2 linked regions of the Caenorhabditis elegans genome follow. The protein of the gene in region 2 interacts with the protein of the main gene of each other region in a pairwise test. Each region holds a gene or a part of one and is shown on either strand. Other genes may lie near its edges.

The links.
Region 1: the proteins of Y53F4B.11 (region 2) and arrd-24 interact in a two-hybrid assay, tested with the Caenorhabditis elegans proteins (2 studies listed by BioGRID).

What each region holds. Positions count from the first base shown.
Region 1 is NC_003284.9:13,975,757-13,987,370, forward strand, and holds arrd-24 (Arrestin C-terminal-like domain-containing protein), read right to left. Parts: upstream 4,762-11,614; 5' UTR 4,751-4,761; coding exon 4,569-4,750; intron 4,525-4,568; coding exon 4,419-4,524; intron 4,325-4,418; coding exon 4,162-4,324; intron 4,119-4,161; coding exon 4,009-4,118; intron 3,964-4,008; coding exon 3,484-3,963; 3' UTR 3,313-3,483; downstream 1-3,312. Other genes in the region: F48F7.5 (C2H2-type domain-containing protein), read left to right, coding at 45-151, 203-391, 598-1,164; F48F7.6 (Zf-C4pol domain-containing protein), read left to right, coding at 2,077-2,211, 2,294-2,479, 2,629-3,024; irld-24 (Receptor L-domain domain-containing protein), read left to right, coding at 10,856-10,946, 11,012-11,257, 11,302-11,487.
Region 2 is NC_003280.10:15,005,024-15,017,727, reverse strand, and holds Y53F4B.11 (uncharacterized protein), read right to left. Parts: upstream 6,981-12,704; 5' UTR 6,937-6,980; coding exon 6,838-6,936; intron 6,775-6,837; coding exon 6,547-6,774; intron 4,990-6,546; coding exon 4,789-4,989; intron 4,744-4,788; coding exon 4,597-4,743; intron 4,459-4,596; coding exon 4,369-4,458; 3' UTR 4,320-4,368; downstream 1-4,319. Other genes in the region: Y53F4B.51 (uncharacterized protein), read left to right, coding at 3,400-3,457, 3,922-3,980, 4,028-4,094, 4,135-4,226; Y53F4B.9 (AAA+ ATPase domain-containing protein), read left to right, coding at 7,317-7,417, 7,463-7,661, 7,841-8,089, 8,436-8,549, 8,603-9,697, 9,898-10,635, 11,351-11,785, 12,129-12,704.

The sequences.
Region 1 (11,614 bases), on a different chromosome or scaffold from region 2:
AATTGTTTTAAACTGACATTATAATAATACAAACATTCTTCCAGATATGTACAAATTGCAATGTTCCAAATGCGATGAAAAGTTCAACACTGAAAATTCCTTCGCTATTCATATTGATGTTTGTCTCAAAAATGCAGAACGTGACGTACATGTAAGGATTTTCAAATCCTATATAGCCTCTCAGCTTTATCAGATTTTTTAGTACCAAGTACATCAACACGCTAATCGCCTACTTATGTCTCAAAATCATCTGGCTATGTTTTGTGGGGCTTCCAATCAGGAAGAGGATCTTAAATGTGGACTTTGCAAGGAACAATTTGAAAACGTACAAGCTTGTAGAATGCACATGAGAAGATGCCGTCGGTTTAATTATCAATTCTCTAAATTTGCGGTTAGTCGGTTAATAAGTATTTAAAAATGAAAAGTTTATCAAAAAAATACACATGTTCAGTTAAGAGGATAATTTGAAGAAAAATGTCAAAGAAAATTTTACTTACTTCTATTTCTTATTTCTTAGTTAAGAAAACTCATATAGTTTAAAAAGTATTTTTTGAGAAACAATTATGCTACAAATTGACAGATAATATAAATTTTCAGAACCACACCGGCGCTCTTTTCAACAATTTGATGCATTCAAATGAGCAACTTGGCACTTTATTCCAACAATATGTTTTGGATGAGCATATCATAAAAATCAAAACTGGCAGATTGTCAAAACCAGCTACAGAAGAGGTGCCAAACATCGAATCCGGGAGTGTATGCTATGACGATTTGAAACAGCACTTTGACGAAAAAAATCAACACTATTTAGACGAAGTTCGTGAACTTATCGATGACAGTTTTAATCGATATCTAAGAAAACGAGAGCTTGATTCAACTACTGTCGATGTTGGTTACTCTTTGCCAAACAAACGGAGAAGGGTCGAGGAGGAAGATGAAGATGAGGAAGCAGACGATGATAATGGCGAATCCACTGATTTGGAAGGTTCTGATGTGGATGAAAACCGTGAAGAAAAGGAATTGATAGACGAATCCAATGATTCAGATGATACCGAATTTGAAGAGGAGGACGAATATGAAACGGATTACGTAGAAGATGAGCCGACTTTTGATGAGGAAACAATCCCAGAAAACTATAGGGCTACTAATTGTTCTAATGCATAAGAAGGAGATTTTGATATTTTTTCTCTATTGATCTCAAAACATTTTCACACTATGTAGCACATTTTCTACTACATCTGTGTCAATTTATTAAAGTCAACCTTGTGCTACAGGTCTAGTCGTTATTTTTCTTGGAAAATTGATTATATATATATACGTATATTTCACTGTCGTTGATCGAAATTTTGGAAGTAGTCTATGTGATTTAAACCTTGATATTTTTGGTATTTCAGTATACTTCTTATTTTGTGGGATTTATCGATTTTCGGAATTCTTTCAATAATAAAGTTTTATGTTTGGTTTATAATAACTGGTGTATAACAAAGCGATAAAATAAATAGACTCTTAATTGTGTATTAGTGATCACAATTCCGTACTTCGAGCAAAAAAGTGTTCGTGTTTTTAATTATTCAATTCTAATTTTTTTGCTTGAATTAAATTACCGCATTTTTACTAAATTTACATTTCCAATTAAAATGACTAAACGAAAAAAAGTCTTGCATGCAACTCTTATTTTCAACATACTAGACTGTTTTATTTTTCCGCTGTTTAAAATTTATTGATCAACAATTTATGTGTACTCCAGTTACTAATCTCTCTTGTTTTATTCCACTACGCAATTTGCTTCTTTCCCTCCTATTGCTATCTCATATTTACTGCTAGTCAAATGGGCAAATCGATTTCTCGGCCATCCTCTCTCGGCTGCCTTGTTATTCTCTCGTTGTCGCTCACTTCTGCACGCTACGCGGCGCGCAGTGCACGACCGCGTTGCCTAGTTTATTCTTTCCCTTGCAATGCGTGCGATACCATAGCAATATTGAGGGGGAATTATTTTTGGCTATACACTAAGCTTACTCATCTCTTGTGTTATTAGTTTTTTGACAATTTTTTTATCAATGACTTACTTTCAGAAAAATGTCGGCTGAGACCTACGTTATGGAGATTGATGGAGGACCGGGAGACTTGCATTGCATGAAGTGTCTCAAAATCTGCAACTACTTGAAGGACAGTTATTGCTGCAAGAAAACAAAAAATATGACTCTTCCACAGGTATGTTTTTTTTTCGGAAAAATCATATTATGGTTCCAGCCAAAACCAAGTATCCTAATGATTGTATTAAAACTTATTTCAGAAAAAAGCGGAGAGCGCCTTTTTGATGATCTGTCTTCAACGCAACACGATCGAGCTCATGGTCACTGCCCTGCTGGCCAATAAGAAAATTATCGATTCAAAGGGTAACTGTGCGTTCTGCCGCAACAAAAAACAACACGAGGAGGAAAAGTGGTGCGCTGGAAGGACCAAGCTTCAGCTCTTTTTAGTGAGTGTTATAAAAACGTTTAATACATATGTAGTACCGAAAAAGGGTCAGGCCGAAGACATCCTAAGACTAAACAATTAGCATACAATCATAAAAAAGTTAATATAAATTAAACATTACGATGTATAAATTTAAAAAGCAATTTTCAGCATCGAATTGACAAGGATGAACTAAAAGTTGAGGAATATCTCGAGAAGTATCTAGAGATTAAAACCAGAAATCGCATGGAACAATTGGACATTGTTCAAGCCAGAATTGTAAGAGAGATGAAGGCTGTAGCAATTGCTCAGGGAAAATCAGAAGAGGAGGTTGAGCACATTCTGGCAAAGCAAGGACGTAAAGCTCGTCGAATGCAAAGATCTGAATACAAACACGCAGAGGAAGACAATAAAGGTGTTCGCCAAAGACTTGCCGCCAAACTTGTGGCCAAGAAATCGGAAATTATTGAGCGTTTCTGCCTTGCTCAACGTACTGTCTTTGTTAAAGCAGATTGTCCAAATGTCTATGGCCGGACAACCACTCACATTTCCTATCTTTTAGAATAAGTTGCTGTCGTCGTTGCACTGTTATCTTGTTTCACTACTGCACAAAAAGTGGCTCACAAAAAAATCCTGTAAAATTGTCTATAAAAATTCACCGTCAATCTCGAATATCACTACTCCTCATATTATTTTCTGAAATGTTTTTTTTTAAACTTATCTGTTGATTGTAATAAACTTGTAATTTACAATTCATCCTTATAGTTTTTTGAATCTACCCTACCTTATTTTTTGCCAAATGAATATTTTTGAAACTCAATGTTTAGCAATAGAGAAAGAAAATTGATTGACTAATGTAAATGGCCAGAATTTTATTAATTCACAATTATACAAGAAAAAATAAAATAAAATACCCAATTAAATTTTAGTTACACACATTGATTCCTCATAAGACGGCGGTAGAGCGGATGTTCCCGCTGTATCATCGGTCGGAGCACTTGGAACCACAGTTGAATAGGCTGGAGGTTAGGAATCCAGCCGCTCAAGGACAGGTGGATCAGACGGAAAGGTAGTTACCGTTGGCTCCACGATCGATTCAGTTATTGGCACTGTGCCGATGATGATATCAAACTCGCAGTGCAATGTATTATTAAGGGTTGTTAAAGTGTCCAACCTCACAGAAAGACAATACTCAATGCTGATAATGGGACTTGTAAATGTTGGTGGCGACTTTGGGATTTTCATCCGCAGCATTTCACGGCCAGCGGTTTTTGGAGCAATTTTTATGCTTTTTCGAGCTTCTGCAATACGTTTGCTTTCATCCTTGTGATGTTCGTGGTAAGACGAATGAGTGCATAAGAGGCCATGGTTTTTGCTAGCATTGTAATGCGAGTGCTGATGAAGTTCAGCTCGCACAAACGTTGCTGCACGTTTGGAAGCATTGTCAATGTCGATTGTGATTGGCAGGTATTCTCCAGGAGCATATCCTGCTTTGGGGATAGTTACCTGAAAGCATTAAATAACCTATCAATGTAGCAGCGTTGTACTCACAGTTATTGTTACTATTCCTTTTTTAAATATTTGCCCAATGTCCTTCACATCCTTCATCATTCTAGGAACATTTCCCAACGGAAGATGATTCAAGTCAAAGTTGGGAATAACTGAAAAATAACTTTTTGCGCACATTAACAATTTTCGAAATACCTTTGAAGTCTTCCCTTTCGTTTTTGTTGAACTTCCATGGTCTGTCAAGCTCAACTCGCACGGAATAACGAACGTGGCCGTGGAAACCTTCAAAACTAGGTGGACATTCTATCGGGAGTGGAAATGCAAACGGGAAGACATGGTGGCCAGATGGAAGTTTTTCCTGTAACAATATTGTAGTTTGTTATCAGTTAAATGCATGAAACTAAATACTCAAGATCGTCTTTTGTACATTACACTTCCAATTTAAGACTTACAGTTCCATTTCTTGCACTCCATGCAATCGTTTCTCCAGAGACGTAGTCAACTTCTGCAGAGTAGTGCACAATTTCAGTATAACTTTCCTCTTTTCCTTCACAATTACTAAACTCTTGTATGTCATTAGGTCTAGATGTCTTGGAGCTTACGTTCTGTATCGTCGTTCCCCTTCACTCCACTTCGTATGCGCAGCACCGTGAATACAGATTTTCAAGAATCGGGCAGTGATTGGCTCGTTGGATCTCAAAACAACCTGCCCAGTAACAGTTTGACCTGGTGCATAACCTCTCGGGCTATCGAACACAATTCCAAAGTGATCCATATGTTCCATATCTAAACTAAAAAGATACAAGGAAATTTAGAATTTTAATTAAGGAAAATGTTGTATGATTATAAAATGAATGAAAACTGATAAAATGAAGTGGTTATCAAATAAATTGCCGTTTTATAATATATTGTGACTCAAAACGCGTAATCAGGAGGTAAAATGTCGTCATCAGTCTTATACCGTGCGTTATTTGATTTTTGTGAAATCATATTTATATTATAAAACGGCAATTTATTTGATAACCACTTCATTTTATCAGTTTTCATTCATTTTATAATCATACAACATTTTCCTTAATTAAAATTCTAAATTTCCTTGTATCTTTTTAGTTTAGATATGGAACATATGGATCACTTTGGAATTGTGTTCGATAGCCCGAGAGGTTATGCACCAGGTCAAACTGTTACTGGGCAGGTTGTTTTGAGATCCAACGAGCCAATCACTGCCCGATTCTTGAAAATCTGTTTTCACGGTGCTGCGCATACGAAGTGGAGTGAAGGGGAACGACGATACAGAACGTAAGCTCCAAGACATCTAGACCTAATGACATACAAGAGTTTAGTAATTGTGAAGGAAAAGAGGAAAGTTATACTGAAATTGTGCACTACTCTGCAGAAGTTGACTACGTCTCTGGAGAAACGATTGCATGGAGTGCAAGAAATGGAACTGTAAGTCTTAAATTGGAAGTGTAATGTACAAAAGACGATCTTGAGTATTTAGTTTCATGCCTTTAACTTCACAGAATATTTTACTCTCTGGCTTCACAGAATATTTTAATCTCTGGCTTCACCGTATATTTTACTCTCTGGCTTCACAGAATATTTTACTCTCTGGCTTCGCAGAATATTTTACTCTCTGGCTTCACCGTATATTTTACTCTCTGGCTTCACCGTATATTTTACTCTCTGGCTTCACAGAATATTTTACTCTCTGGCTTCGCAGAATATTTTACTCTCTGGCTTCACCGTATATTTTACTCTCTGGCTTCACAGAATATTTTACTCTCTGGCTTTACAGAATATTTTACTCCCTGGCTTCACACTTTTTTGAATTTGGTTTCGAAATTCTGAAAGAACACAAAATTTGCAACAAAATGGCTACAGGATTTTTGAAAAAGTTAGTTTGACGCCAGATTCTAATTTTTGAAAATTGGAAAATCTACTAATTTTGCATGGTCGTTTTTAGTCATTCTCAAACTGTGCACTAAAAGGTATGACTGAAAATCCACTTTTTCTGCTTGAACTCCGCTAGAGGAATTTCTGTATCCGAATTATTTTTTACAGGCATATACCTTGACGAAATTACAAAAAAAAATTTTTGGAATTTTGGGAGACTTGATATGGCCCTGAATAGAAAATTTTTTTCTAAGATTATTGGTAAAGTTCGGGACCTGGAAATTAAATTTAAGCCACGCTAGAGGGGTTTCTGTATCCGAATTATTTTTTACAGGCATATACCTTGACGAAATTACAAAAAAAAAATTTTGGAATTTTGGGAGACTTGATATGGCCCTGAATAGACAATTTTTTTCTAAGATTATTGGTAAAGTTCGGGAAATATACGGTGAAGCCAGAGAGTAAAATATACGGTGAAGCCCGAGAGTAAAAAATACGGTGAAGCCAGAGAGTAAATGTTATATATTTTGTAATAATAATAGAAGAGCTTTATTAGAAAGCAGAAGAGTGCAGTATGATAGAATAGTGAGGAATGATCGAATATGATAGATTCGATCAAGGAATGTACATGTGGATAATACGTGAAATAATAATAAGAGAGTTCGAGAGTTCATGTGCTTCTTATTGTCGAGTTGTTATCGCGAAGTAGTGCGAACACGTAACACCTTCCCCCCTTATTGACGAATAGCGATTCCCTTGGCAAGAGGGGTTTCGACCAGAAGCTGTATATCGACATCCGTTGCGAGTGGAGGCTTGACCGAGCTGTGTGGATGTCGACCCACGCGGATATCTGTCCGGTACTCGTCGAATTCGCGAACTTCGTCTTACGGAATGGCTTGGTTCGGTGGTCGAGTGAGAACGTGAGGCGTATCTGGGCGCCGAAACGTCGTTGTTGGTTGGAGAGCAGGATCCACGTGGCTGTCCTCTGACTGCATTGCTTTCTTTCTTCTTTAGTTCACTTGTGATTCGGCTTCCACGATTAACATCAATACTGGAACCATTCGAAGTAACAATTGGATCATCATTGCGGGACATCTCATCACCGCCACTCTCCCCCACAAAACCAAAAGAATCGGAAGACAATCTAGGATTAACAGACGAGCCTGAAGAATCAAAAAGATTAGTTTCTCCCCTGTGGCCCCGGAACTTGACTTATTGTCTGAACAGCTAGTAAACTTTCCTGGAGTCGAAAAGAACAGAGGATAGATAGTTTCCTCAAAAATGTCTTCACGACTGTAGTCACCATAACGAGTCCGAATCTGATTAACGTGAGACTTTTGCATTCTGTCTCCGACTTGAACTTCATAGAGAAGACCACCTTAGTTGAAAAAGACATTGAGTATAATCCTTTTGTAAAAAGGACACTTTTTAACGAAAAAAGGTAATATTGTTCTTACTATCATTGTCTGTCCGTAATCATGCTAAAAATTAAGATTAAAAAAACAACAATTTTTTTTTCAGAATTGTTGTTCGAAAAACGAAAAACTTTATCTAAAAGAAGCCCACTAAAAGAAGCATAAAGTTTCAATTTTGAACAAGTGCGTTGAAAAATAATGATGCAGAGGCGTGCTTCATTGGACTCCGGAGCCAATCCGTTCGTGGATTCCCTGCTGCATTTCTAGTTTATTATGTGTTGTCCAGAATTTTATGTGTATCATTTAGGTAAAAATCTGATTCATTTTCGTAGAAAGAAGTTTATATAAAATTGAACTGTAATCATTAACGATTAATCATTTTTGCCGCCGGTTTATTCCTGAAAACACATTCAAGTTGATAAAATTTTTGACAATTGACTCACAGAACATTTTCTGTTGTTTTGTGGTAACATCGATATCTGAGTAGTATCGTACTTCTTCTGGTATTTGCAGAGAAAATATTTGTAAAGTACCGAATGGTAAGATGATAATTACGATGAGTAGGATAACAAGAAAACGCATCACAAGTGTAATAAACCTGAAAATTGGGAGTACATAATTTTGTATAGCATGGCACATTCCAATGAGCACATTCCAATGTCAAAATGTAAAAGATGCAATTCCCTACGTAATGTATTAATATTTGTAGATATTTTTGTAAAAACACATTTATATAAATCTTAAGTTGATTTTTCAATTTTTATCTTCAAGCTGTGGTTTGGAAAACTAAAAAATGAAATATTACAGAAGAACAAACTTTAATACAACTTTTAAACAGTACGAAAAACTATTCATAAAGCCATGTTTCTATATTTTTCGGAATAATAAAACAGTGACGTGTGCTAGCATGCGATGCTTGAGAAATGTCGGAACAGAATAACATTTTATTGATTCAAAAATTGAAATGATCACAAAACGATTATATAACTTTTCATTGTTTCGCTTGAATGTCCCGGGTTTTTGTTTCGCAAGTCATTGTCCTGAAATTAAACTTGAAATAACATTTTTTATAATGAAAACATACATACGAAAGAATTAATAAACTTCCAAACTGGAGTTTGTGGAACTTTCATAATAATCATCACCAAATTCTGTATCGGTTAGAATTTCTATAGAGAATATTTCACTTTCTGTTAGTACAGTTGATAGTGCAAAAAAGACAAAAATCATTGAAGTGAATAGGTTCATTTATTCTTAATTTATTTCGTTTTTTTTTTCTGAAGATCTGAAGAAATTCGATGGAAGATTTGTATAAACAAATTATTTGAATGTGGTAATCGAATGAATGTTTAGACGTCAAATGTGTTAGTCAAGTTTTAAAAAAAAAACGTCAAAAGATTATCAAGCTGTTGTACTTTATTGAGCCCGTCTAGGCTGAAATTTGATGCAAGTGCAGATTAGCGATAGAAGCTTTGCAAATAATTCTGAAAAACAATTATACACGCGTCCAATTTGTTAGTTAACTTACCCAGTACAGCTTTTCGATAAGCTTTGATAATGAACATACTTGGTAGAGGATCAATGGCTAAGTAAATGGAAATTGTTGCAGATATAGCAGTACTCGCATATGGAAAATTTATATTAAAAAGAGGTAGAGCAAACACGAAGAATAGCGGTATATACATCAATACCATTGGAATGAGAGTATGAAATATTGATTTAACGCTAAATTTTCTAGGTAGTTTTCAAAAACCTGAATCACTAATGCTTTGAGTAACTGGTGCTGAAGACTTTTCGAGATTTTTGATTGGACCGTCGTAATTGACATAGCTTGCAAAATGCAATTATAGCATTTAAAACCGCAAAAAATTACACTGAAAATAGAGACAAACTGAAAATAAAGATGATTTCGTAATACAAAAAAATTCCTTACTGTTATAGTATATATACTAGTCATGACCAAAAATGTTTTCCAATGAGGATGAAGTTTTCCGTTTTCATCAGGCAGGTAGAAAAATATAACCATGCTGGCCAAACTAGAAATATTAAAGTTTAGGTCGTTTTTAACAGCATCTCTGAAAATCAAACAAATTGGGTTAAGTTGGCTAAAAATTGATTCGAAATTTGATAATGTAATGTAAAGTTATTTTAATACAAACCTTAAATATTCGTCTGAATATTCATCGAAACAAAATGCCACTCCACTGATTACACTCCACCAACTTCCACACAGGATTGGTACCGCAAATATTATATAAATCTTTTTCCCTGACAAAAACCGTTCACGGAAATCATTGTTAACTGTTCCATAACGATACATGAAATGAACTCCAAAACATGCCAATGAAAAAGCAAAGCATCCACAATAGACCAGAACCATATAAAAACTCATTTCTCGAGTGAACATAGAATTATCATAATTTCGAAACACCACAAAAGCCGGCCCGTATGAGTATACTGTTGGATTAGTGATTATATCCCACACCGCGTAAAAAAGGTCAAAAACGTAAATGTAGGTCATAAGATACTTGTAAAACCCTAAAGAGTGTGGTGATCGAAATAAGACAAGAATAATCAACACTGTGTTAAGAAAAACTGAACAACCGACACAAAAATATTTAAAATACTCCAAAACATCTCTCCAGAAGAAGAGAGCCATAATCAAATGTTCAGTGATAGTTTGTGAAACTGAATACTCAGCTCATTTTAAGTAGGCATCTAATTCATGAGGGATGAAAAAAAAACGAAAACGTAGACAATAACAAGTTAATTTTAATGTACATAGATAGTATCAAAACATAATAACTGATTTGAGGAAGTCACTTAACGACCATCGACACTAACACTTTTATACGCTATTTCATTCTGTTTTGAGATCCTTCACTATTCTTGAGAGAAATCTACGTAAGTGAACGGCTAGTGAACGACTACCCACGTTGGATTGCTATACCAACCGGGGACAATATAACTTCTCGTGGACACCACACATCAAAAAGAGGGGTTATTACTGTATTTATTCCGTTGACAGAGTTTTTAAGTTTCATTCTTTACGTTTGACATGTTTGGCTATTAACAAGCGAGGTTTCAGATATACAAGCGAAGTTTCAGATATACGAATCTTTCACATGAATAGGAAACTAAAGATATAGCTTTAGAAAGTAAAAAACCTACGACATCCAGCAATGACGAAAAATTGTGATACTTCAAAAGATGTGCAAAGCATAACAGTTTATTAATATATTTTGTTCTTAAATTCTGATAATATCGACAAGAAAATCTGTGTTCATAACCTTTTCTTGATAGACCCCATTAAATTTATTGAGGTCTTAAGTTTACTGGAAGTTCATCGAAGCTTTACTTAACTACATATAATTTCACTCAATATTTTCCATCGGGTCTTTTTTAATCTAAATATTTGATTTTAATCTTCTTTAATCTAGACATTTTTCATCACGAGATACCTATACGTATAATTTGGTCGTAATTGCCCCATTTCATAGTCAATCCACATGATTATACTGCTTTCTTGAAAATACTTCTTACTCACACCATTTCCGTTTTCCAATAGAAGTCACTTGATGATTTTGACTTTGTGCATTTGTTTTTCAACTGTTTTCTCCTACAATTTTGAAGACGATTTTCGCATTCTGTCTGAAACAGAAACCTGCTGTGAGTGAAAAAAATAATTATGAAAAAAAAATATTTTGCTCTAAAATTTACTTGGAAATGTTAAGCGTCTCCATGTTGGTTCAACAAATCGGAAGTGACAACTGAAACAATTGAGCTATGGCCAACAAATTGCACAAAAGTTTGCTCAATTTTAACCTTCACTTCAACAATTAATAAGATTCCACTCGAAAAACTGAAAACCACGTTTCAAAACCTGACGGTTTTATGTGGCGTTTTACGGATCGAAAACACAACTTTAAAAAACTTGTCTTTTTTGGAAAATCTTGATTTCATTTCGAACAGTAATGAATGTGAGTTGAAAGTTTTAACATTTTATATTATCTAGTCCTTCCAGTCGAATTATCAATTTCTCATAACAATGAGCTCGAGGAAATTGGAATTCTTTTTTCCATGGACTTCTCGGCCATTTTTCCTATTCAAATTGTTAACAACTCAAGATTAGACGCAAGTTTGTTATGCGAAAACAATAATTATGCAGCTTTTGATGTGATATATGTGCACAAGAACTTGAAAGATTGTGGTACGTTTTTTTGCAAATATTTTGATGTACTGTCGAATTTAAGTAACATTTTAAAACCTTTTCAATCGATTATGAACTTAACTGTAACAAACTACAGAAACATTTTGAAAAAGTAAAACTGAAAACC
Region 2 (12,704 bases):
TTTAAGTGTTGCTGTATAATAAAAAATCTCTCTCAACATTTCAGGCAAATGTGATACAAGCGGCAAACCGGCAAATTGGCAAGCCGGCAAATTGCCGGAATTGAAAATTTTCGGCAAATGGGCAATCCGGCAATTTGCCGGTTACATTTTTAAATGGAAGAAAGAACCACAGAAAATATTTCAAATTTTTGAGTTGTGAAATGTAGGAAATCTCAAAAATTTAATGATTTCAGACTGGGAAACTATGAAAAAATATTTTTTTTTATCTTTAAAAAATCACTCCAAATAGTTCTTCCAGAATATTAAACTTTCCACTCAAGAAGCTTCCCAAAAGAAAAAAAAACGAAGCTGTAAATTGAATTGTCAGATTCGGATTTCGGAAATTCTTTGAAAAAAAGACACTTTACTTTTTTTCTTTCTTTTTGTTAGTGAAAGCTACTCCCGAGAAAAAAAAGTTCCGGAAAAATTTGCATAATCCGCTTCTCCATTCAAAAGTGCTCTGGCAGAAAAAAAGGAAGCTATTGCTCTAGAATTTTAAAATTTCCGGGTTTTTTTAATTAGAAATTTCAAAAATTCTTAACAATTTGCAAGTGCGCTCCACCGCACAAATGGCCAATTTCGGGGATTCTATAGTAACTTTTGTTTTTGTTATATTTAAATTTTTTTCAAATGAAAAAATATGAAGCTTCGAGTGAGACTGAAATTTTCGAAGAAATATAAGTTTAAATCAAGAAAAAAAGGTTTTTGGAATTTTTAATGCTTTGAAAAACAACAAAAAATCTAGAAGCTAAATAGATTGACGTCAATCCTGATAACGATAGACAAAAGAAAAGATGGAGATTTAGAGAAACGAGAAGAAGTCAGAAGTGTGTGTGTGTGTGCATGGATATTATATGTAATTCCATAGGAATTTGAACAAATTGACTCAGAAGCATACATTTGTGAGAGAACGTGACATTTGAGATTGTATCAAATTGCTTACTTGACATTATGAGCTTGTGCTGAAAATTTGAGTTTTCAGAAATTGCGAAAAAAAAAATTGTGTTGGATTTTTTTGTTGAAAATTTCTGAAGAATTATCTAAAACTTGTAAAAACTCAAACATTTCTTTAAATTTTGTACAAAAAAGGGCCAAGGATACTACTGCCACTTCTACAAAAAATTCAGTAGTACGGTCGAGCGCGATTTCATGTGACGAAAATTTAAAATATTTGGTTTTTGTGAGAAATTTCCAGTAATTTGCAACTAGAAAAGGTAGGGCTTTTAATTTTTTTTTCTTCTAATTTTTGAAAAAAAAATTAAATTGCTTTTCATCCAAAATTTGCCGAAAAACTTTTTATAAATTTCAAAATCTAGACTCCCGCCAAAAATCCTTCAGAAAACTGAAGAGCCCATTGCGTGTCAACCGTTGAGCACCAACAAAAAATCGCAAAAAATGTGCTCACAGAGCTCCTACAATTTTCAGATAATCGACGGCTTCTGACTTGTCGCGCTGGGAAAAAAGATACAAAATATATTTATGCGAAAACTATAATTTTTAGATTTTTAGAAGAAAAAAAAACAAAGAGCTTTGGTGTTTTGGGCAGCTCCAAAAGCAGATTTTGTGGGAATTTAAATTTTTATTCTAGAGGAAAATGCGCTCCAATGCACTACCAGACAGTTTTGCAGGGTTCTATAATAATAAAGGTTCCGAAAAAGAACATCAGACTTTGCGGGGGGTCAGTCGAGTAAATAAGAAAAGAAAAAAAAGAAGACACGCTGAGTACGGAGGAAGTGGTCCGACAACTCCCTCATGTCCAAATGTCTTCTTTTTCTTCAGAAATCGAATCAGACACCCTTCTACGACTCTCCTTTTATCTGTAAAAGCTCTGAAACTTGATCCAATTTTTCGAGGAGCTCAGGGAGCTCCTTTGTGCCTAGAAACCTTGAAAATCTTGAAATTCTGACGAAAAAAACTTCGCCATGGGAGAAAAAAACGACGCTGCCATTTCTTGATTCCCGTCTGATAATTGCATTCACTTTTTCTTTTTGGTCTTTTTTTCTTTGCTCACTGCGTGCCCTCGTGATGATTTGGCGAGCTGATTTGAATAATGGGACTGGGAAAAATTGTCGAAAAGTTGCCGAAATTAGCAGAGAAAGCTGGCAAGTTTCTGCCAAATTTTGCCGACAACTTGCTGAAAGTTACAGAACATTGTCAAAAGTTGTTGAAACAGCTGCTGAAAGTTGCCAAAAATTTTCAGAACGTTAAAGAGGGAACTGCCAAAATGCTGCCAACTTTTGCCGGAAAGATGTTGAAAACTGCAGAAAAAGTGTAGAAAATTGCCAAAAAGTTGCCGAAAGCTGTCACATCAGTTGTCGAAAATTGCAGAAACTATGTCGAAAGTTGCCGAATAGATGCAGAAACAATGATGAAAGTTGGCAAAAGTTGTCGAAATTTGTCGAAAGTTGTCTGAATTTGCCAAAATGACAGTTGAAGTTTTCAACAAGCTACCGGAAGTTGCTGCCAAAATTTGCCGGAAAGTTGCAGAACGGCGCCGAAAATTTGTTTAAAACTACTGAAAAGGTGTAGAAAGTCGCCACAACAGTTTTCGAAAATTACAGAAACGCTGTCGAAAGTTGCGAGAAATTTTCAGAAAGTTGCAGAGAAAGCTGGCAAGTTTCTGCCAAATTTTGCGAGAAATTTGCCAAAAGTTACAGAAAATTGTTTAAAGTTGTTGAAATAGCTGCAAAAAGTTGCCGAGAGATCTGTCTTAGTTGGTGTCAATTCAATTCTTGCTAACAAAAAATTGAATTTAACTAATTGTCAAAAAATTTCAAGAAGTTGCAGAAAAGTTGCCAAAATGTTGGCGAGAGTTGCCGATTAATTGTAGAAAAATGTACAAAATGTTCAAATCTGTCGGATCACTTCAGAAAAGTCGGCGAAAGTTGTCGAATGTTCACGTGTGCATATACAGTTTAAAAAAAATTTCAAAAACTATGCTCAATGAGCAGCTTCAAACTAGAATTTCATCAAAAAAACAGAAGAAAAATCTGGCAAAATGTCAATGTCAATCAAAACGACCTAGCTAGCCAGCAGGATAATTGGATCAAGCATCACAAGATGACGGAGCAGCTCAGAATTTTTTTTTGCTTTTTCCTATTTTTACTCAAAAAAAATAGGGGAGAAGTTGCTCACTGCTTTCCGGAGAAGCGGAAACAGTGTGAAAAGAAGAAGAAACGGGGAAGAAGCTGTGACAGACAAAAAACAAGAAATTCGACAAGTCTCTTGGGGTGAGAAGCAAACCGAGAAGCCCCCTTTGCTCGCCGAGCACACAAGCTTCTCATATTTTTCTCACGTTTCTTTTCGAGAATTTTCTATCGACCCCTTTCAGAAGAGATTTTCAGAAGAATTTCCAGGAAAATGAGCAAAAAATTGGGATTTTTCGTGGTTTTATTGCTGCTCGTCGGGGTATTTTCTGGTGAGTTTTGGGTTGAAAGTACAGGAAATTTGAAATTTTCGAATTATTATCGACTCCCCAAAAACTATGTTTGTGCAACGGAGCGCAGTTACACTAAAATTTTCAAAATTTTGAGAAAACTCGAATAGAGCAGTAGAGCGCACTTGCATTAGATGGGACACTGGAAGTTAAACGTCGTGTACTCCACACGGACAAGTTCATTGAGTTTTCCGGGCCGCGACGCAACACGCGACGCTCCGTAAATCGACTCCAGCGGTGGTCGAGCCAAAATGGCCTAATTCGGCAAACTCTTACATCGCATTTGATAGAGCCAATAATTTTGTCCAGCAGTTCAATAGAGCGTGATTGCTTTGAAAATTTGAAGAAAAACCTGGAGTTCGAATTTTGAAAATTATTATTGATTCCACAAAAAATTATCTATAGAGCGCGATTTCAACTTTTTTTTCTAAAAAAAAGTTTTTCAGCCCAAATCCGGATCCCCCTCTTCGGCGGAATCATCACTATCAATAACAATTTCGAAAAAGTAAGGCCACCAAATTTCCCGGGAAAAAAAATCAATACTATTTCCAGAAACCTACCAACAGCACTGAAAAATTCACTGGCTCCACTGTGAAAAATGGGTCCGTGGAGAATTTCGGTAAACTTCAAGTTTTTGCTTTAAAAAAACTGTTTTCCAGAATTTTCCACAAAACCGCCGAAAACTCCGTCCCAACAACGTCCGAAATCGGCTGTTCTGAATGCACTTCTCTCAATGTTTGGACGTTTCTAGCAAATGCGCTCTGTTGATAAACTTTTGCGCGTCAATTGTGGTGTCATTGTATTGCTTGTGTAAATAATTGCTTTTAATCAGTAATAAAAAAATAAATGCAATAATTTATTCCAAATCGAAAAAAAAATCTATTAATATTTCTTCACCAATCCATTTCCAAGTAAGATTTCAAAAACTTCTCGTGAATCTCCGTGAAGATCATGTCACAGTGACGGATTTCGTAGCGGAGCATCTGCAAAATTGGTTAAAAATCGATAAAACTCCTATTGAAATGTTTGAATAATCGCGAAAACACAGTATTTGACGCGCAAAATTGAAAAAAAAATACAACTTTGCGCGTAAGATATGGTGCACGGGAACACAAACTCACATCACGTTCATCGTTGACCTCCGAGCGTTTATTCTTCAACTTATCAAATTCTCCGCAAATTTTATCGATTAAATCGAATTTCGAAGTGATCAGATGAATGAGCTCTCCCTCGAGCACACAACGATGCCCAAGTGGGATTTTTCGCTCCTGAAATCCTAATACATCAAATCTGACGCAAAACTGCAGACTTACACAGTGCTCCTCCCAAATCTCCAATCCTTGGCAACTCTTGTCGAGAAGTTCGGTGAGAATTTCGAATCGATCTTCTTCGAGGCTACGATCCTCACGCGGGAGGGCCCAAAGCATCCGTTCGACACGTTTCACACGTCGTTCGAATTCCACGAAGCGTCGAGCCAGGTCGGGAAGGTACTTGGCGGCGATGGAATCCGGAACCTGAAGTGTCCAAATTTTAGAATTTTCAGATATGACGCATAGGCCGCGCTCTTTTTTGTTTTTGGCTGAAAATACAGTTTTTCTGCAATATTTTTTCTCGCCAAATTTGGTACATGGGCGTTATGAGGTGCAGGGGTGGACGGCAAACGATTTTTCCCGGCAAATCGGAAAATTGCCGGAATTGAAATGTCCGGCAAATCTACAAATTGCCCGAATTAAAAATTTCCGGCAAATCGGCAATTTTCTGAAAATAAAAATTTCCGGCAACTAGGCAAATGCCCGGATTTTTTCCGAAAATGAAAAATTCCGGCAAATCGGCAATTTTCCGAAAATGAAAATTTCCGGCAAATCGGCAATTTTTTGAAAATGAAAATTTCCAGCAAATCGGCAATTTTCTGAAAATGAAAATTTCCGGCAACCCGGCAAATGTCCGAATTTTTTCCTAAAATGAAAAATTCCGGCAAATCGCCAAACCGGCAGATTGCCCGAATTCAAAATTTCCGGCAAATCGGCAATTTTTCGAAAATTAAAATTTCCAGCAAATCGGCAATTTTCTGAAAATGAAAATTTCCGGCAAATCTGCAATTTTCTGAAAATGAAAATTTCCGGCAACCCGGCAAATGTCCGAATTTTTTCCTAAAATGAAAATTCCGGCAAATCGGCAAACCGGCAGATTGCCCGAGTTCAAAATTTCCGGCAAATCTGCAATTTTCTGAAAATGAAAATTTCCGGCAACCCGGCAAATGTCCGAATTTTTTCCTAAATAGAAAATTCCGGCAAATCGGCAAACCGGCAGATTGCCCGAGTTCAAAATTTCCGGCAAATCTGCAATTTTCTGAAAATGAAAATTTCCGGCAACCCGGCAAATGTCCGAATTTTTTCCTAAAATGAAAATTCCGGCAAATCGGCAAACCGGCAGATTGCCCGAGTTCAAAATTTCCGGCAAATCTGCAAATTTCTGAAAATGAAAATTTCCGGCAACCCGGCAAATGCCCGAATTTTTTCCTAAAATGAAAATTTCCGGCAAATCGGCAATTTTTTGAAAATGAAAATTTCCAGCAAATGGGCAATTTTCTGAAAATGAAAATTTCCGGCAACCCGGCAAATGTCCGAATTTTTTCCTAAAATGAAAAATTTCGGCAAATCGCCAAACCGGCAGATTGCCCGAATTCAAAATTTCCGGCAAATCGGCAATGTTTCGAAAATTAAAATTTCCAGCAAATCGGAAATTTTCTGAAAATGAAAATTTTCGGCAAATCTGCAATTTTCCTAAAATGAAAATTCCGGCAAATCGGCAAACCGGCAGATTGCCCGAGTTCAAAATTTCCGGCAAATCTGCAATTTTCTGAAAATGAAAATTTCCGGCAAACCGGCAATTTGTCGATTTGCCGAATTTGCCGGAAAACGACAATTGCCTCCCATCCCTGGTTCAATGCCCATGACAGAGACAAATTTTCAGGCAGAATTGTTGGGGCACTGCATTTCATCCAAAAATTCAAAAAAAAAATGCGCGTCAAATCTGGTGTATTTTGACTCTGCCCAACAAAGTGTGCTTACATCTTTCATGTTCTTGTAGACCGTATTCGCGTCCTTGGCCTTCAGCTCCTCATAAAACTCGGGATCCGTCCCATCGACCGGCTTATCGAGCCCCAACTCCTTCACAATGTCGTGAAGCGGAAAATCGGCGGCATCCGGGACACCCGGCGGCGGAGCAGCTCGCTTAGCGATTTCAGCGTCCAGAAGGTTCTGCTCCTCGTCGGACAATGGTGGAATCACCGAGTACTTCTGCAAAAAAAGAGCAATTCAAAATTCCCGGCTTGCAAAGTGCTCTCCAATTCTAATTCTCACCCGTGCCTTGATGTCCTGCTCGATTTGCTCGGCGCGGAGCAAGATGGCTTCCTTGTCCAAGTGAAGATCGCCGAGTTGCTCACAAATTTCGGTTTCCATGATAAAGGAAATGATTGATTTTTTGTGGTTCTTTTTTCTAGTTTAATCAAAATCGAACATTCTCGAAGTTTATACACGTTTTCCTGTCATTTGGGGTTTCACGCAAAAAAACCCTGATTTGAATTGCCGCGTTTTTAACGAGAGGTGCGCGCAAGCGCGCTCTAGTGAGACAGCGCGAAATGTTGATTTTCATTTTCTTTTCGGAGGGAAAATTTTCAGTTTTCGTGGTTTTTGGAATATTCCATGAAATCAGTTGTTCTCGATTTTTCTTCAATTTTCACAGATTTTATGTTAAAAATCGAATTATTCGCTTAATTTCTCACATTTTCCCATGAAAAATCATTGAATTTCCGTCATTTATCGATTTTTTTGCAGTAAAAATGGAAGAGAATCCTACTTTGGATGAAAACTCACTTCCATCCACATCGGCACCACCAGAGCCAATTCCAGAGCATAAGGAACATACGGAAGAACCAAAAAGGTTGGTTTTTACCCTCAATTCTCGATAAAATCTCTCAATTTCCAGACCTGCTCGCCGTCGTTCCTCGCTTGGCATCAAAATCATGAGCTCATTCATTAGTTCCGGCTCCGAAGACGTGATGAGCCCCGTTCAAAAGCGTGTACAGCCGAAACGAATGGCTCAGCTGAAAATCGCGCCGCTACCGTTGGTTCAGCCGCCGCCACCACCGAGAACTCGTGCTTGTCAGCGGCCGATTCGATATTCGGTGAGGATTTGAGCTGCGAAAGCTGAAAATTTCCAGATTTTTGCCGGAAAAGTGCCTCAAAAATGAAGATTTTGGCTGAAAATCAATTATTTTGATCGATTTTTGTATTTCAAAGGCTCATGAAATTCAAAAACTGATAAATGGGTCTCACAACGTTTTTTCAACGATTCTAATTTCAGTTCGACGTTGGAGAACGTGTCGCCGTGAAGCCATGCCTCAAATCCGCCACCAAAACGCCGATTCGAGTTCGTCCAGCTGACGGTGCGATGATCCCGCCACGAAAATCGCTGACCCAGCAGGCCGCTCAACGTGTGATGCAGAAATATCGTAGAAGCATGTCGAAAACGCCGCAAAAGCGTGGAACATCGGGAAAACTGAAGTTCAACAAGATATGCTCGATTCGAGTGATAACGCCGAGGCCCAATTATGTTAGTAGGCTGCGGAATAAGCTGAAAAATCGATTTTTTGCCGAAAAATCGCTGAAAGTCCCCGAAATTTTAAGAGAAAACACGTTTTTAGCGCGGTTTTTAACTGAAAAATGCCAGATTTTCGTTGAAAAAACCAAGTTTTCTCTCGGAAATCCGTGAATTTTCCAGTTTTTGGCGTTTTTAGTATTTTTAAAGCCAAAAATAAGTCTGAAATTACTGAAAATGGGCTTATTTTCACAAAAAGTACACTAATTTGACACTTTTTCACCCGAAAAACTTCACATTTTCATCAAAATCTGCAACTTTTCCCCGTGTACTCCTCTCGGACAATCTCTTTTTTTTGCAGAATCCAAACGATTTGGTGATGCCACACTCGGACGATGAGGAGGACACGATGAATCCGAACAGAGAACGCCTCAGCACAGTAAAACTCCGATTGACACCTACGTCACAGGCAAAGGTAAAAAATGGGTGGAGTCTAATATTGATTTTTTCTTCAATTTTTTCTTTCAGCTCGAGCAAATGCAATCGGAGGACGTTTTCCAATTCAACGCGGAAATGGTGTTCGGCGACGGAGGAGGAGGCTCTGCACCATCCACGTCATCAATTGCATCCTACTCGGCTGAATCTGTGACGGAGACCGCACTTGAGTCGGTGAACACGAAATCGGTGGAATCGAAAACGCGACCATCATCACGCCGGAAATCTCTCATCCTCGGCGCAGCGTCACCTCTGAAGTCGCCAGCGAAAATTGAGAAGCCGAGATTGGAGGAGCCAGAGCAAAAATCCAAGCGATCCCGTAGATCGCTTCGTCTGAATCCGGATGCCATAGAGCCTCCGGTGAAGTCGTGTGATTTGCTGGAAGACGAACGCGAGGAAAGCAGCTCGAAAAAACGAGAAAACCACGATCCCGGCTATGATCTGGAGCCCCTGGCGAAACGAGGACCTCTTAAATCGGAAATTCACAGCTTTTTCGCGCCGAGATCTGCCAAGAAACCTGTGGTGTCTCTGGATGGGGAAGCCGACTCCGTGGAAGTCAACTGTGTGGAAATGGCGGTGGAATCCGAGAAGAAACAACGCAAAAATCGCAGATATTCAGCGTACTTTGGATCTGCGGAAAAGGAGGTGGAATCTATTTCCAAACCACTTGAAGCTGAGAAGAAGAGATCGCGAAGATCCTCTGCATATTCCGGAAACTCCGTGGAATCGAAATCTCTGGAATCGAAATCTCTGGATAAGGAGGTGGAGCCTAAGGTCCGAACAGCTCGGAAATCAATGGCTGCAAAATCCGTGGAACCAAAAACCCTGGAAAAAGATGCCGAGCCATCTCGGAAATCTGAGTCTCCGGAAAAAACCGTGGAGCCTCCTGCAAAATCATCGGAAGAGATCAAAGAGGAGAAGAAGAAACTCAAAATCCGTAGATCTTCTGCGTACTTCAGAGTTGCGAAGCCCCTGCCCACTTCTGACGACGCAGCGCCGGAAACCGAGGAAGAAATTGTGGTTATTTCGAGTCCTGAGGCGCCGGAAAATGGGAAATTGGCGACGATTTTTTCGAAATCAACTCCAGTAGTGGGAAATAAGAAGATGCTAGAGCTGAAAAAGGCGGAGGTACACAATTTTTTAGATTTTTGAGAGAAAAATTAAGAAAATTCAATTATTTATTTCTAGAAAATCAAAAAATCGTCGAAAAATGATTTTTTTTGAAAGCTTTTTTTGGAAACTAACACTGGTTTTCTATTAAAAAAATTCGAAAAAGCCTAATTTTTAGCCGAAAAAGCCTTCTTTTTCTTAAAAACCCAATTTTCCAGACCAAATCAACTCCACCAACAAGCCAAAAGCCCAGCAGCTCCGGCCCAGTTTTCTCGATTTTCTCTCCAAAACCTGTGAAGCCTGCAGTCACTCCAAAAGTGACAACTCTATCGGATAGCCCAATGGGATCAGTTTCAGGCCCGCCGAGCTCCAGCTTCTCCAAAAAGAGCAACGGAGTCCGTCGAAAAGAGCATTGGGGAGATTTGTGCGCTGAAACCTATCAGTTTTTCGAGAAAATCCCAATTTTGCCAGCGATTTTCGAGGAATTCGCAGAAATCGACGATGGGAAGATCTTCAAATCTAGAAGTTTCGACCCAAAAATTCTAGATTCAACTGGGATTGTCTCTGAGCTTCAGGAGGATCTCCTTGAGCTCCATAAGCCCTACGAGCGAAGCCGGGAACTCACAATGGCTCAAAATCCGCCGGATTCATCGCTGGAAAAGCTGGAAGTGCCCCAAAATAGCTGCACAACAACAATATATCCGTCGACGATGGATTCACTGGTAGAAGGAGCCGAAGAAGAGCCAACGGTGCGGGGATGGCTCCGAAGATGGAAGCGTCGAGTGCGGAAAGCCATGGAGCGAGAGATTGCGGAGCAGCAGGGGAAGAAGAAAAAGAGGAAGCGACGGGATGAGGATCATGAATCCGATGAGGATTATGAAGTGGAGCATCAGGATGATGATCTGGAGAATCCTCTGGTGTTGATTGGACCGTCTGGAGTTGGAAAGACCGCCTTGGTACGGGATGAAGCTTGGAGATTTTCAGAAAAAATTGGAATTTTTGGAAAAAAATCAGAAACTTTTGAATAAAAAAGCTCTAATTCAGGGTTGCTCAGAAATCGGAAATTTTTGGCAATTTCGGCAATTGCCGGTTTTATATATTTTCGGCAATTTCTGCAATTGCCTGTTTTGAAAACATTCGGCAATTGCCGGTTTTGGAAATTTTTGACGAATTCGGCAATTTTTGCAATTGCCGGTTTCCAAAATTTCCAGCAAATTCGGTAATTGCCGGTTTTGGAAATTTTTGGCGAATTCGGCAATTTCTGTAATTGCCAGTTTTGAAAATTTCCAGCAAATTCGGCAATTGCCGGTTTTGGAAATTTTTGGCGAATTCGGCAATTTCTGTAATTGCCAGTTTTGAAAATTTCCAGCAAATTCGGCAATTGCCGGTTTTGGAAATTTTTGGCGAATTCGGCAATTTCTGCAACTGCCAGTTTTGAAAATTTTCGGAAATCGGCAAATTCTGCAATTGCCGGTTTTGGAAATTTCCGGCAATTCCTGCAATTGCCGGTTTCCAAAACTTCCGGCAATTACGGCACTCAAAAATGGTAAACTTCTTGTGTTTTTTCAACGAAAATTAATGTTAAAAAATCGTCTTTTTTTAAACGAAAACTCTAACATTTTCTGCAAGAAAAAAATCTGGTTTTCTCCAAAAATTTAAAATTTTTTGCAGTTCCGTGCTCTCGCCAAGCAAGAAAACATGCGTATAATCTCAATTGGCCCGGAAACCGGCAGAAGTGGCTCAGAGATCAAGAGAAACCTTCAGGAGGCTCTCCGTTCTCATCGTGTGGATCAGCAGCCGCATCCGACTCGTACCATCCCGTTTTACAAGACAATTCCGCGTGAAACTCCAGCACCACCACCACAACTGGCGCCAAAGGATTTTGTGCAGAGTCTAGTGGTCTTTGAGCATGTCGATGTGTTCTTTGAGACTCTCGATCGTCATGGGATCCTTGGACTTCTGGAAGCTGTGAATGAAGCTGCCGTGCCGGTTGTGTTCACTTGTGAGCAAGAATGGCCACGACGATGGGGACAAGTTGAGCTACGGAGGCCCCATTTGGAGATTTGCTTGAATAGAAATCAATGCAGAGTACAGAAATATGTACAGGTACTTCTAGAAATTTCAGAAACATTTTTAAGATCAAAATGATCAAAAATCGAATTTTCTACTAATTTCGGCTTAAAATGAAGCGGAAAAGACGCTAAAAAAATTTCCAGAAATTTCCAAAAAAACACATTTCCAGCGAAATTGTTCCTCTAAACCTCGGTTTTGGTGAAAAATTCCCGATTTTTTTTGGAATTTTGAGCTTAACTACTGAAAACTGGTTTCCAAAATTAATTTTTTTCGAATTTATAATATTTTTTATCAGATTGATTTCCAAAAAGGTGGAAAAAAAATTTAGCGAAAAATTTAAATTTTAAAAAAATTATTAAAATTCTTTTAATTTCAGAATCTCGTCTACTCGTGCCGTAACGTGATTATCGACGACGCGACGATCAAGCAGCTCTCCGAGTCCGTGAATCACGATCTGAGTGCTCTCCTCCATCAAGCTCATCTTTTCTCGCTGGCTCCACACCGCCCATTCCCACTTACAACTCGCCATCTCGTTTCAACCGGATTCTCCGAGCACTGGGAAAAGCCACGTTGCAGCTTAACCAAGACACAGGAACGAATGGAGGAGCTCTTCGAGCAGTACGCGGATGTTCTCCCAGACGGAGCAGTGGCTCTGAGCCGCTCACCGGGAGTGGAGAAACTATGGGATACGGATCGCCAGAAGCTCGCGGAATCTCAGGCTGGATATTCGGAAGGTGTCCGGAACGCTTACGAGGCTCTCAATGGACGATTTTCGCGGCGAGACCTGGTTCAAGATGTGCTCCCGATGCTCGTGCCAATGGATCGTGTCGAACGTCAGAAACGGGTCCGATCACGGCGACACTTGCATCGATTCAAGCAGTACTCGAAGGACTTCCCGATGGACGGAGATCAACTGATAAATGTGGTTGGCGGATGGAGCATGAGCCTTTGA